Caenorhabditis elegans: one gene and its partner. Changing the gene in region 2 together with the main gene of any one other region gives a genetic interaction. Each region holds a gene or a part of one and is shown on either strand. Other genes may lie near its edges.

Region 1 (6,313 bases), on a different chromosome or scaffold from region 2:
ATAATAAACCTTCCAGCAGCACTTCCAGCAGCTTCTGGCGTCACATCAGTTATCAGGAGAGAAGCTTGAAACAAATGCAACCGAAGAAGACATGAAAATTTCCTTTTTTTTTACTGTTACAATACCTATTTCGTAAATTATATATATATATATATATATATCTCGTTATCTCTCCTTATATTATTTAATCCCAACATTGTATTCAGTTTCATTGGCTTAGCAAGTTTTCGATTGAAAATTTTTTTTTTCAGCCAAATACCGATTTTTCATATTTTTTTCGCATTTTTGATTGATGTTTCTGTGATTATTGGTTTTCCTATGTTGTTTTAAAAGGGTTTGTAATGTATCTTCGCTGAAATGTTTGTTTCATATTCAAAAACGGCAATGTTTCCACTTTCCCACTCGGTATCTTTTAGTTTTCAGGCTGCAGCTTCAAAAAATTGAAAATGGCGAAAATTTTAGGGTGGAATTTGTTTTCTTTTTTTTTTTCATATTTTACATAATACTATTTTCGTAATTTATTTTTTTCCCTCAAAATGTGCATGATGCGTTAAATTTTTTTTGGCATAGACTTCGCGTCCCAAATGGCGAGTAATAATTATTGAGAAGGAAAACTGTGTGCGAGCCCTTTGCAAAATGTGTGCGCACCACTTGCGGTATGCCTCATCGTGTGACTCCGCCCACATTTTCTTTTGTTTCCATTTTCTCTTTTCCCCTCAATTTATCGATTTTTATCCACTTTTTGTTTTTCACATTTAGAATTGAGTATTTCATCGCTATTCTGGTTGTTTGCGTTAAAGTTTGTCGTTCAAAATCGAAATTTTCGTTAAAAATCAAGGTTTTTATTTCAGAATGACTGAAGTCGTAAATGCCGACAAAATAAAAACGATTCGCGCGTACTACAAGCTGTGCCAAAAGCCGGAGAATCGAGCAGTCGTGCTTAAGGTAAGTCGTTAGCTCACTCAGGATTCACATGAAAATTAAATTTCTTCCAGGACAAAACATTTTTCCACACTCTCCCAACGCTCCTCAAGGACGAAAGCTCCGATGTCATCAGATACACGGTTAAAATCCTCGTTTTGCTCACAGAGCAGTCGGGGAACATCGAGCAACTGCTGAAATCCGCAGATTTACTTCCAGCATTGTCGGAAGCCTGCGAAAATATCACAAATCCCAGTGTCAACTATAACTTGGTCCTTGTCTCGAGTAGGATTCGAGTAGTGAAGAATTCGCTGGATGCCAAAAGAGCCGAGAAAGAGCCTCTAGCCGATGCGATCAAAGAGCTCGACAAGGGCGGAACTCTTCACCGAAAATTCGTTGGAAGAAAGTCAAAGCAGATTATTATGGAATTCGATGCGGAGGAATTCGATGAAACGAAGAAGCTGTCAGTTGAGAGAGGCCTTCTGAAGAAAAAAGGAGTAATCAGTGTATATATAACCGAGCAGAACTCAATTCCACGCGCCGTGCTCCGCACAATCCCGACAATCGAAGCCAAGGACATTGCGCAGTCCGTTTTCGCCGCCGCCGGATTCGAGTACGTCGCGCAGTTAGTGAAAGTGAACGGAATCGACGAGAAATTCGAGTTTTACGCGTCAGAGATGGGCAAAATCACGGAAAACTCGAAAGATTACCCCGAATATTTGGATGATGATGTGCTTCACGTGGATCCGGCAAGTTGTGTGATAACTAATGAGATGGCTGCCCATGGAAGTGGTCAAGAGGGCGGATGGTTCAGTTCGATCACTTCATTCGTCAAAACTTCCCTCTGGTGATGGAAGGAATTCTCGGATTATCTCGGAAAATCTCGAAAAAAAATGTATTAAAGTACTACGGTTTCTTCTTTGTTATCTCAATATTTTCTTTTTTCTCCTGTTTCTCGTTTTTTTTGAGATCTCTTTCTGGTATTATCACCGCACAGGCATATAAATCGTTTCACACTGGTTTTTAAATCCTCGTATTCTTGATTTTTATGTGTTTTTAAGCTGTTTTAACCAGCTCTAATTATCTATTCGGCAGTTTCAGATTCGAAAAATGCGATTATTCTCATATTTGGACGGTTGCGGTACCAAAAATAGAGGAATTTATCGGTATAAAATATCCTTAAAAATCCAAAGTCCTAGTGAAAATCTTGTTTTTGCGTTTTCATCTAGTTTCCGATTCGAAAAAACCCATTTTTCTAAATTTTCTACCTGAAACCACGTATTTTGACAGTTGCAACACCAAAAATAGAATAATTTTCCTTTAAAATCGCCACAGAAGCACAAATTCCAAGTGATAATCTTTATTTTGCGTTTTCAGCTAGTTTCCGATTCAAAAAATGCGATTTTTCTCGATTTTCTACCTGAAACCTCGTATTTTGACGATTGCAGTATCAAAATAGTGGAATGTTTTTCAAAATAGCCATAAAAGTAAAAATTCCTTTTTAGCTAGTATCTGATTCGAAAAATGCGATTATTCCTCAATTTTCAACTAGAAATCCTATTTTTTTTTAAATTTTCTACTCTAAATTTCGATTTTTCGCACTTTTCCACTCGAAATAAATTTATTAAATTTAAATTTAATTTTAAAAAAATCTTAGTTTTTGTGGATTTTTCCTGTTTAAAATGACTTTTCTCTGCTCCCACATGAAATTTGATAGTTTCAGCACCTAAAATATCGAATTTCTTTGCATTTTCTCGTCTAAAACTCACCATTTCCTTTAAAAAGTATAATTTTCAGTAGCTGTGAACTCCCAACAACCATGCTTCTTCACTCTACCAACTCTTATTCGATATTCACTGGTAAAACACAAAAAAATACAATTTTTTCGAAATTTCTTCATTTAAATTAATTTCCAGACCATGAAGTCGAAACTCGAACCTCTAGAATCCGCTCAGCGATGTTCCCCGACTGGATTCCACCAACTTCTGCTGCAGAAGCCACAAATTCAACTACAAGCATCGTCGAAATGATGCAAATGCCAACTCAACAGCTGAAGCAATCAGTTATGGATCTTCTAACCTACGAAGGATCAAACGATATGTCAGGACTCTCGCTTCCGGATCTAGTGAAGCTTATGTGCGATCATGATGAGTCAGTGGTTGCTAGAGCTGTTCATCGAGCTTATATGCTCTCAAGGGAAGATCCGAACTTCTTCAATGCGCCGGGATTCGATCATCGATCTTTTGTGGAAGCTCTGATGGCTGCGTCGAAGAGTTCCAACGTGAATGTCCGTCGGAATGCGATTGGAGCATTGTCTCACATGTCTGAGCAACGTGGAGGACCTCTTCTGATCTTCAGAAGCGGAGGGCTTGCTGAAATCATTCGAATGCTCTATGATTCACTGGAATCAGTTGTTCACTATGCTGTGACAACACTTCGGAACCTTCTGATGCATGTTTCTGATTCCAGAGCTCAAGCGAGAGCTCTCAACGCCGTTGAGGCGCTAACTCCGCACCTTCATAAGACGAATCCGAAGCTGCTGGCTCAAGTGGCGGATGGGTTGTATTTCCTGTTGATCGGTAAGGATTCACTGGAAAAATCAAGAATTTTGTACAAATTTGCATTTTTTAAAGCTATAAATTCAAATTTTCCACTCTAAAATTTCAAAAATCGGTCAATTTTGCAGACGATGCTCCATCGAAGATCACATTCCTATCACTGTTGGGACCACAGATCTTGGTTTCGATTCTTCGCGAGTACTCGGATCATCGGAAGCTCATCTATACCGTCGTCCGTTGCATTCGATCCCTGTCCGTTTGTCCGAGCAACAAACCGGCGTTGATCAGTCTTGGTACATGGATGTTTTGATTAAAAACTATTTTATATCGCATTTTTAGAGATATTTTCAGGTTTTTATCCACTGAAAAGCTGGAAATTTGAGATTTTTAGCTGAAAATACTTGAAATTCGCAGCTATTTCGAGTGTTTTGAAGCAATTTTTAAACATTTTCCTTTATCTTTCACGAAATTCCAACAAATTTCAAAATTTTTGTTCCGGTGGTTCAAAGTTTCGCTGAAACCTCCAATTTTACCCTCTTTCAGCAGGAAATTACTTTGAAATTGCGCGTTTTTTGAGAATTTTCCAATAAAAAAGTTCAGAAATTTAAACTTTTCAATATTAATTTTTTCTAGGCTGCCTTCCTGCTCTCTACGTGGAGCTCTGCACCGCAAAAGACGAGCGATCCCAGACGGCGATTCTAGTGGCGATGAGAAATCTGTCGGATTCTGCGACAAACGAGGAAAATCTCACTCAACTGATCATCAAGCTTCTCGAAATCATTCGTGTCGCCAACGATGGAATGACTGCCTGCGCGTGTGGAACATTGAGCAATCTCACCTGCAATAACACTAGAAACAAGCAAACCGTGTGTTCTCACGGGGGAATCGATGCTCTCGTCACCGCGATCCGCCGACTACCTGAAGTTGAAGAAGTCACCGAACCGGCTCTCTGTGCTCTTCGGCACTGTACTGCCAGGCACTCACTGGCTGAAGAAGCTCAAAGTGAGCTGAGATTCTGTCAAGCATTCCCAGTGATTTTGGATCAGCTGGAAACTCTTCGTACTCCAGTTATCAAGGCAGCTCTCGGAGTTATTAGAAATAGTGCACTTCTTCAAACAAATCTTATCGAGTTGACACAAGAACAAACTGCAAATGGGCATACAGCTGTGTCACTGACAATGGATATCTTGAGAAGAGCTATCACGGCGATTGAGGAGAATCCTGATATTGCTGTAGATGGAGTTCCAATGTGGGGAGTCATCGAAGGAGCTGTCTCGGCTCTTCATCAGCTCGCGAATCATCCGGCAGTCGCTGCAGCATGCTGTGATGATATTGGACAAGTCGGAAATCCAGAATGTCCACCATTCTTGGATCTTCTCCATCGTCTTCTGGCTCATCCGAGACTCGGATCCATGGATGATGAAGTTCTCGAACGCGAGATTCTTGGGCTTCTCTATCAGTTGAGCAAGCGGCCAGACGGAGCCCGTGCTGTTGAGAGTACTGGAGTTAGTGCTCTTTTAATGGAATCTCGTGGCTCACAGTACAAATCAGTCGTCACTTATGCGAATGGAGTGTTGAGTAATTTGAAGAGAGGAGATTCAGCTGCCATCATGAATATGTCTAATGTGAGGAATTAGGAAAAAAAATAAATTTTCCGTAAAAAAACCGAAAAATCGAAAGAAAACTTTTGAGCCACCACGGATTTAAGATATTGTGGGATTCCGGATCGTTGAAAAAATGTGTTCTATGTGTTGGCACGGTGATCCGGAAATGGTAGATCTAGAATCCCACCGGATCTTGAATCCGTGGGGCCTCAAAGTTTTTTAAAAATTCAATGTTTTAATGAAATATTGTCCATATGGACAAATGTTGATGAGAAAAACCATATAATTTTGTTCTAAAAACAAGGAAAATAGTTCAAATTTTCAGCTTTTTTTCGAAAAATAGAAAAAAAAATTTCAACATAAATTTCCGATTTTCGAGCGAGCCATTCATGAATTAATTCCGAATTTTCAGTCGTACGACTACGAGATGAGTGGAAGTGCTGCGGATTGGCAACGTGATGGGCTGGAACGAGAGCTTTTCGCTGAAATGTATCCGACAAACGACGGCGGACACTCGGAATCCATTAATATGGCGTTGAACAACTCACAAATGCGCCCTAATCACAATTGGTACGATACCGATTTGTAATTAATTTATCTTCTCGTATTTTTGCATTTTTTACACATAATCTGCTGAATATATCCACTGGGAATTATTATTCATGGTTTTAAATTTAATTTTTGATACTTTCAATATATTTATATTATAAATGTAATTTTATACTTCCTACTATCTAATGTTATACGTATCTTTTTTTTGGTTCTTCGGTTCCTTTTTCCTATATTTTTTCAAAAAAAAAATTTCAGACAATTTAAACGAAAAATTTCCAGATGAGTATCTGCCTTGAAAAGCAGAAAATCCGATGCGGAATGATAAGCCGGACGGCTCGACACATTGCCATCGATGAGAATAGTGGAAAAATGGCAATTGTGAGGAAATCTAGGTTTGTACGGAGGATTTATTGGAAAAAATGATTTTTGAAATTAAAAATTAAAGGTGGAGTAGAGTCAAAACAAATTTTTTGCTTAAAATGACAGAAAATATACCCAAATAACCGATTATAACTGAAAAAATGTTCTAAATTTTTTATGATTTTTCAATTTTTCAAAAATTGAATTCCCGCGAAAATAAGTGACGTAATTTGTTTATATTCTCGCGTTTTCTGGCTAAATTCTTTGGTTTTTCTTGATTTTTCTTACACATATTTAGTTTTAAACTCTGTTTCTCAA
Region 2 (6,090 bases):
TATTTATTTATTGAAAAAATACATTTCAACAAAAACAAAATGTTATTATCAAAATATAAAAACTGTCACCTCAAATTTGACTGCAGCAACGCGCGCGAAATTTTTGCTCTCGATTCCGCATGGCGTAAAAACACCTGTAACCACGGCCCCGCGGGTGGTGACAGAAACCGGAGACGAGAAAATGCGAAGATACAACGCAAAAACTGATGTTTCTAGCGTTTTCTCTTCTCCCGCTTCTGTCATCACCCGCGAGACCGTGGTCCCAACTGTTTTTACGGCATGCGGAATCGAGAGCGAAAATTTCGCGCGCGTTGCTGCAGTCAAATTTGAGGTGACAGTTTTTATATTTTGATAATAACAAATCGTGAGAAGAACTATGAAAAGTCGATGAAAATTCCACGAGTTTTAACTTACAGTAACCTTTGAAGGAGCACGCCCGCTTGTGTTTTTGACGCAAAGAATCGCGACTGTGTAACTACTTGTTTTCGTTATAAAATTATTCTTTTTATTCACTTTTGTATTTAGCATTGGAATGGGACCGGCTGCAGCCTTTATTGGAGCCGAACTTGCTCCACCAAATTTCCAAAAATGCAAAACTAGGTTTTTGGTTTCCTGTAACCAAAATATAGTCTTCGGTGGGAATATATGAACTTTTTCAATTATAATGTTTTCTTCTATTTCTATTACTTCGATGTCATCAAGGTTACCGGTGTTCTTTATTTATTCTCAAAAATTAAATAAACTATATACAAAAATCCATAAATTAATTGACATGTGAAAAATACTATTTTGGTTGAACTTGAATATGAAACTTCACAGAAGGTACACTTTCGATTGTTGGAGTTACAATTGCCTGAAACGAACAAACGTAGATTACGCAAAAAAAGAAAGAACTCACTCTAATATTAAGACCAGCAAGGGCTCCGCGAAGTAAACCACATGGAAAAGCAAGGAAATATCCACTTTCTTTCACGTATTGATCACCTTCGGGAAAACTTCGCAGCGTTGTAAATCTTCCATCTTGAACAACATAGACACCCTGAAAGATATAAGTTTTGGAAATAAAATCGTTTGAAAAATAATATACCTGATGATTTGTGCGGAGATTATCGACTTGCTTGCCAAACACTGATGACCAGAAATCCTTGCAAATGAACTTTACAATCTGATTTTTTTAAATTACAACCGGATAAAACTTGTCACAAAATTCTTACTTCTAACTCAGTGACCAATTTCGGAGACTCTTTTGATACTTTTTCCACGAGCTGCCTTCCAACTCTGAATCCGATCGACTCAAGTTTAGTCTCTGCATTTGCCTGAAGAACACACATTGGAAGACGTATTCTAACATTTAACTTACGTGAAGAAAAGCTTTTTGAACTAAGCTTTCGTACTTTTCAATATCAGCTGGACCATTCAAGTTATCGATAATCTGAAAAGTGATTTCCAATAAAATAAATTGAAACTCAGAAATCAAGAAAAACTCACTGTTCCAAACTTTTCCTTTGCTTCACATCGATCTTTTTCACTTTCCAAAGTTGAACGGATAATTTCCAAATGTAAAATATCAAAAGGAAACGCCATAAAAAATTTCTTGAAGGGAAATAAAAAATAAATAAATTGGAAAGAGTGGTTCTGCAAACACGGGGACGAAGTATTGCGGAGGAAACAGCGCAAATGACGACATTCCTCATGCTAAAAATATTTTCAAAAAACATTTTTTCTCGCTTAAAAATGCCTTGTAACACTGTTCAACTTAATTAGAGATTAAAACTTAACTTTTTCTATCTTCAATTATCAAATATACTTCTTTTTTAATCATAAACGTTGTTTATTGGTAATTTCTAGATAATCAACAGCCACAAAGTGATGAAACATGTCCTCGAATTTTCCCGAATTGGAAAAAGGATTTTATCGTCATTCTCTCGATCCGGTATGATCAATTATTAGCAGCTATAAGATATATAAGTTTGATATTAATATTATAGGAGATGAAATGGCTTGCGAGGCCCACTGGTAAATGCGACGGCAAATTCTATGAGAAGAAAGTACTTCTTTTGGTAAATTGGTTCAAGTTCTCCAGCAAAATTTACGATCGGGAATACTACGAGTATGAAGTGAAAATGACAAAGGAAGTATTGAATAGAAAACCAGGAAAACCTTTCCCAAAAAAGACAGAAATTCCAATGTAAGTGCTTGTAAATTAGTCAAAACTAATTTTATTTTTCAGTCCCGATCGTGCAAAACTCTTCTGGCAACATCTTCGGCATGAGAAGAAGCAGACAGATTTTATTCTCGAAGACTATGTTTTTGATGAAAAGGACACTGTTTATAGTGTTTGTCGACTGAACACTGTCACATCAAAAATGCTGGTTTCGGAGAAAGTAGTAAAAAAGGATTCGGAGAAAAAAGATGAAAAGGATTTGGAGAAAAAAATCTTATACACAATGATACTTACCTATCGTAAAAAATTTCACCTGAACTTTAGTCGAGAAAATCCGGAAAAAGACGAAGAAGCGAATCGGAGTTACAAATTCCTGAAGGTTTATGAAAAACACGCATTATAACAAACAAAATTAGCTTTCAGAATGTTATGACCCAGAAAGTTCGCTACGCGCCTTTTGTGAACGAGGAGATTAAAGTGTGAGTTGCAATAATAATAATAATAATCACCTCAACTCATTTATATATTTTAAGACAATTCGCGAAAAATTTTGTGTACGATAATAATTCAATTCTGCGAGTTCCTGAATCGTTTCACGATCCAAACAGATTCGAACAATCATTAGAAGTAGCACCAAGAATCGAAGCATGGTTTGGAATTTACATTGGAATCAAAGAATTGTTCGATGGTGAACCTGTGCTCAATTTTGCAAGTAAGTTTGAGAAACTGCGATAAAAAATCATGTGATTTTTGTTGAAGTTGTCGATAAACTATTCTACAATGCACCGAAAATGTCTCTTCTGGATTATCTTCTCCTAATTGTCGACCCCCAGTCGTGTAACGATGATGTACGAAAAGATCTTAAAACAAAACTGATGGCGGGAAAAATGACAATCAGACAAGCCGCGCGGCCAAGAATTCGACAATTATTGGAAAATTTGAAGCTGAAATGCGCAGAAGTTTGGGATAACGAAATGTTAGTTTAAATTATTCAAACAATTAATATACAAATTGATTTTCAGGTCGAGATTGACAGAACGACATCTGACATTTCTAGATTTGTGCGAGGAAAACTCTCTTGTTTATAAAGTCACTGGTAAATCGGACAGAGGAAGAAATGCAAAAAAGTACGATACTACATTGTTCAAAATCTATGAGGAAAACAAAAAGTTCATTGAGTTTCCCCACCTACCACTAGTCAAAGTTAAAAGTGGAGCAAAAGAATACGCTGTACCAATGGAACATCTTGAAGTTCATGAGAAGCCACAAAGATACAAGAATCGAATTGATCTGGTGATGCAAGACAAGTTTCTAAAGCGAGCTACACGAAAACCTCACGACTACAAAGAAAATACCCTAAAAATGCTGAAAGAATTGGATTTCTCTTCTGAAGAGCTAAATTTTGTTGAAAGATTTGGATTATGCTCCAAACTTCAGATGATCGAATGTCCAGGAAAGGTTTTGAAAGAGCCAATGCTTGTGAATAGTGTAAATGAACAAATTAAAATGACACCAGTGATTCGTGGATTTCAAGAAAAACAATTGAATGTGGTTCCCGAAAAAGAACTTTGCTGTGCTGTTTTTGTAGTCAACGAAACAGCGGGAAATCCATGCTTAGAAGAGAACGACGTTGTGTAAGTGTTTTCTACGTAGATTATTCCGAAATATTTTCAGTAAGTTCTACACCGAACTAATTGGTGGTTGCAAGTTCCGTGGAATACGAATTGGTGCCAATGAAAACAGAGGAGCGCAATCTATTATGTACGACGCGACGAAAAATGAATATGCCGTAAGTTTCAGAAAATTGAAAGTTTTTAAATATCATATTTACAGTTCTACAAAAATTGTACACTAAATACCGGAATCGGTAGATTTGAAATAGCCGCAACAGAAGCGAAGAATATGTTTGAACGTCTTCCCGATAAAGAACAAAAAGTCTTAATGTTCATTATCATTTCCAAACGACAACTGAATGCTTACGGTTTTGTGAAACATTATTGCGATCACACCATCGGTGTAGCTAATCAGCATATTACTTCTGAAACAGTCACAAAAGCTTTGGCATCACTAAGGCACGAGAAAGGATCAAAACGAATTTTCTATCAAATTGCATTGAAAATCAACGCGAAATTAGGAGGTATTAACCAGGAGCTTGACTGGTCAGAAATTGCAGAAATATCACCAGAAGAAAAAGAAAGACGGAAAACAATGCCATTAACTATGTATGTTGGAATTGATGTAACTCATCCAACCTCCTACAGTGGAATTGATTATTCTATAGCGGCTGTAGTAGCGAGTATCAATCCAGGTGGAACTATCTATCGAAATATGATTGTGACTCAAGAAGAATGTCGTCCCGGTGAGCGTGCAGTGGCTCATGGACGGGAAAGAACAGATATTTTGGAAGCAAAGTTCGTGAAATTGCTCAGAGAATTCGCAGAAGTGAGTTGTCTTGAGTATTTAAAAGATCTCTGGGATTTTTAATTTTTTTGTAAACTTTCAGAACAACGACAATCGAGCACCAGCGCATATTGTAGTCTATCGAGACGGAGTTAGCGATTCGGAGATGCTACGTGTTAGTCATGATGAGCTTCGATCTTTAAAAAGCGAAGTAAAACAATTCATGTCGGAACGGGATGGAGAAGATCCAGAGCCGAAGTACACGTTCATTGTGATTCAGAAAAGACACAATACACGATTGCTTCGAAGAATGGAAAAAGATAAGCCAGTGGTCAATAAAGATCTTACTCCTGCTGAAACAGATGTCGCTGTTGCTGCTGTTAAACAATGGGAGGAGGATATGAAAGAAAGCAAAGAAACTGGAATTGTGAACCCATCATCCGGAACAACTGTGGATAAACTTATCGTTTCGAAATACAAATTCGATTTTTTCTTGGCATCTCATCATGGTGTCCTTGGTACATCTCGTCCAGGACATTACACTGTTATGTATGACGATAAAGGAATGAGCCAAGATGAAGTCTATGTAAGCGTTTTGAATAGCAGTTAGCGATTTTAGGATTTTGTAATCCGCATATAGTTATTATAAAAAAATGTTTCAGAAAATGACCTACGGACTTGCTTTTCTCTCTGCTAGATGTCGAAAACCCATCTCGTTGCCTGTTCCGGTTCATTATGCTCATTTATCATGTGAAAAAGCGAAAGAGCTTTATCGAACTTACAAGGAACATTACATCGGTGACTATGCACAGCCACGGACTCGACACGAAATGGAACATTTTCTCCAAACTAACGTGAAGTACCCTGGAATGTCGTTCGCATAACATTTTGCAAAAGTGTCGCCCGTTTCAATCAAATTTTTCAATTGTAGATATTGTACTTACTTTTTTTTAAAGCCCGGTTTCAAAAATTCATTCCATGACTAACGTTTTCATAAATTACTTGAAATTTATTCTGTGTTTATTATTTATTACCTCTAAATTTCGTTTTGAACGTGAGCATCATATCTTAAACTACTTATTGATAACGGTTTCATAAAGATAGGTAATTTGATTTTTAAAATGTTTTCTCTCTGCAGGTGATTTCACGACTTCTTGGACAGTTCGGTCACAAGATGACATCGCTCATTGGTACTCACTCCGGAAAATTCCATTGCGATGAGGCTTTTGCTTGTTTCATGCTGAAACAATTGCCACAATTCAAGGATCATTCGATTTTAAGGTAATTCGATTTTTCATGTTTATCAAGTTTGCGAAATGACCCACTTTTTTATTAGGATTTATTTTATAGCTGAGTTCTGAAATCTGTAATTTCAGAACCCGTGACGCTGCTCAACTGGAGAAGTGTGATATTATCGTCGATGTCGGTGGAATCTTTGATCATTCAAAACAACGATACGATCATCATCAACGTGGATTCACTGATACCATGCGTACTCTAGAGAAGCTTAACTTTGATACAAAACT

Evidence for each region.
Region 1: of rde-1 (region 2) and hmp-2, a change in one rescues a mutant of the other (synthetic rescue), as found in Caenorhabditis elegans (one study listed by BioGRID).

What each region holds. Positions count from the first base shown.
Region 1 is NC_003279.8:14,736,851-14,743,163, forward strand, and holds hmp-2 (Armadillo/beta-catenin-like repeat protein), read left to right. Parts: upstream 1-2,031; coding exon 2,032-2,087; intron 2,088-2,718; coding exon 2,719-2,780; intron 2,781-2,837; coding exon 2,838-3,500; intron 3,501-3,607; coding exon 3,608-3,772; intron 3,773-4,112; coding exon 4,113-5,104; intron 5,105-5,495; coding exon 5,496-5,672; 3' UTR 5,673-5,806; downstream 5,807-6,313. Other genes in the region: K05C4.7 (Armadillo repeat-containing protein 1), read left to right, coding at 853-945, 996-1,772; K05C4.5 (WD_REPEATS_REGION domain-containing protein), read left to right, coding at 5,915-6,027. UniProt on the Caenorhabditis elegans protein: Required for cell migration during body enclosure and cell shape changes during body elongation. Plays a role in recruitment of the cadherin protein hmr-1 to adherens junctions.
Region 2 is NC_003283.11:9,987,401-9,993,490, reverse strand, and holds rde-1 (Piwi domain-containing protein), read left to right. Parts: upstream 1-1,848; 5' UTR 1,849-1,876; coding exon 1,877-1,933; intron 1,934-1,988; coding exon 1,989-2,188; intron 2,189-2,230; coding exon 2,231-2,543; intron 2,544-2,587; coding exon 2,588-2,643; intron 2,644-2,697; coding exon 2,698-2,876; intron 2,877-2,923; coding exon 2,924-3,140; intron 3,141-3,186; coding exon 3,187-3,798; intron 3,799-3,838; coding exon 3,839-3,953; intron 3,954-3,997; coding exon 3,998-4,606; intron 4,607-4,667; coding exon 4,668-5,150; intron 5,151-5,226; coding exon 5,227-5,448; 3' UTR 5,449-5,575; downstream 5,576-6,090. Other genes in the region: trpp-6 (Trafficking protein particle complex subunit 6B), read right to left, coding at 785-853, 899-1,039, 1,088-1,165, 1,215-1,316, 1,361-1,432, 1,489-1,584; MYG1 protein C27H6.8, read left to right, coding at 5,739-5,845, 5,941-6,090.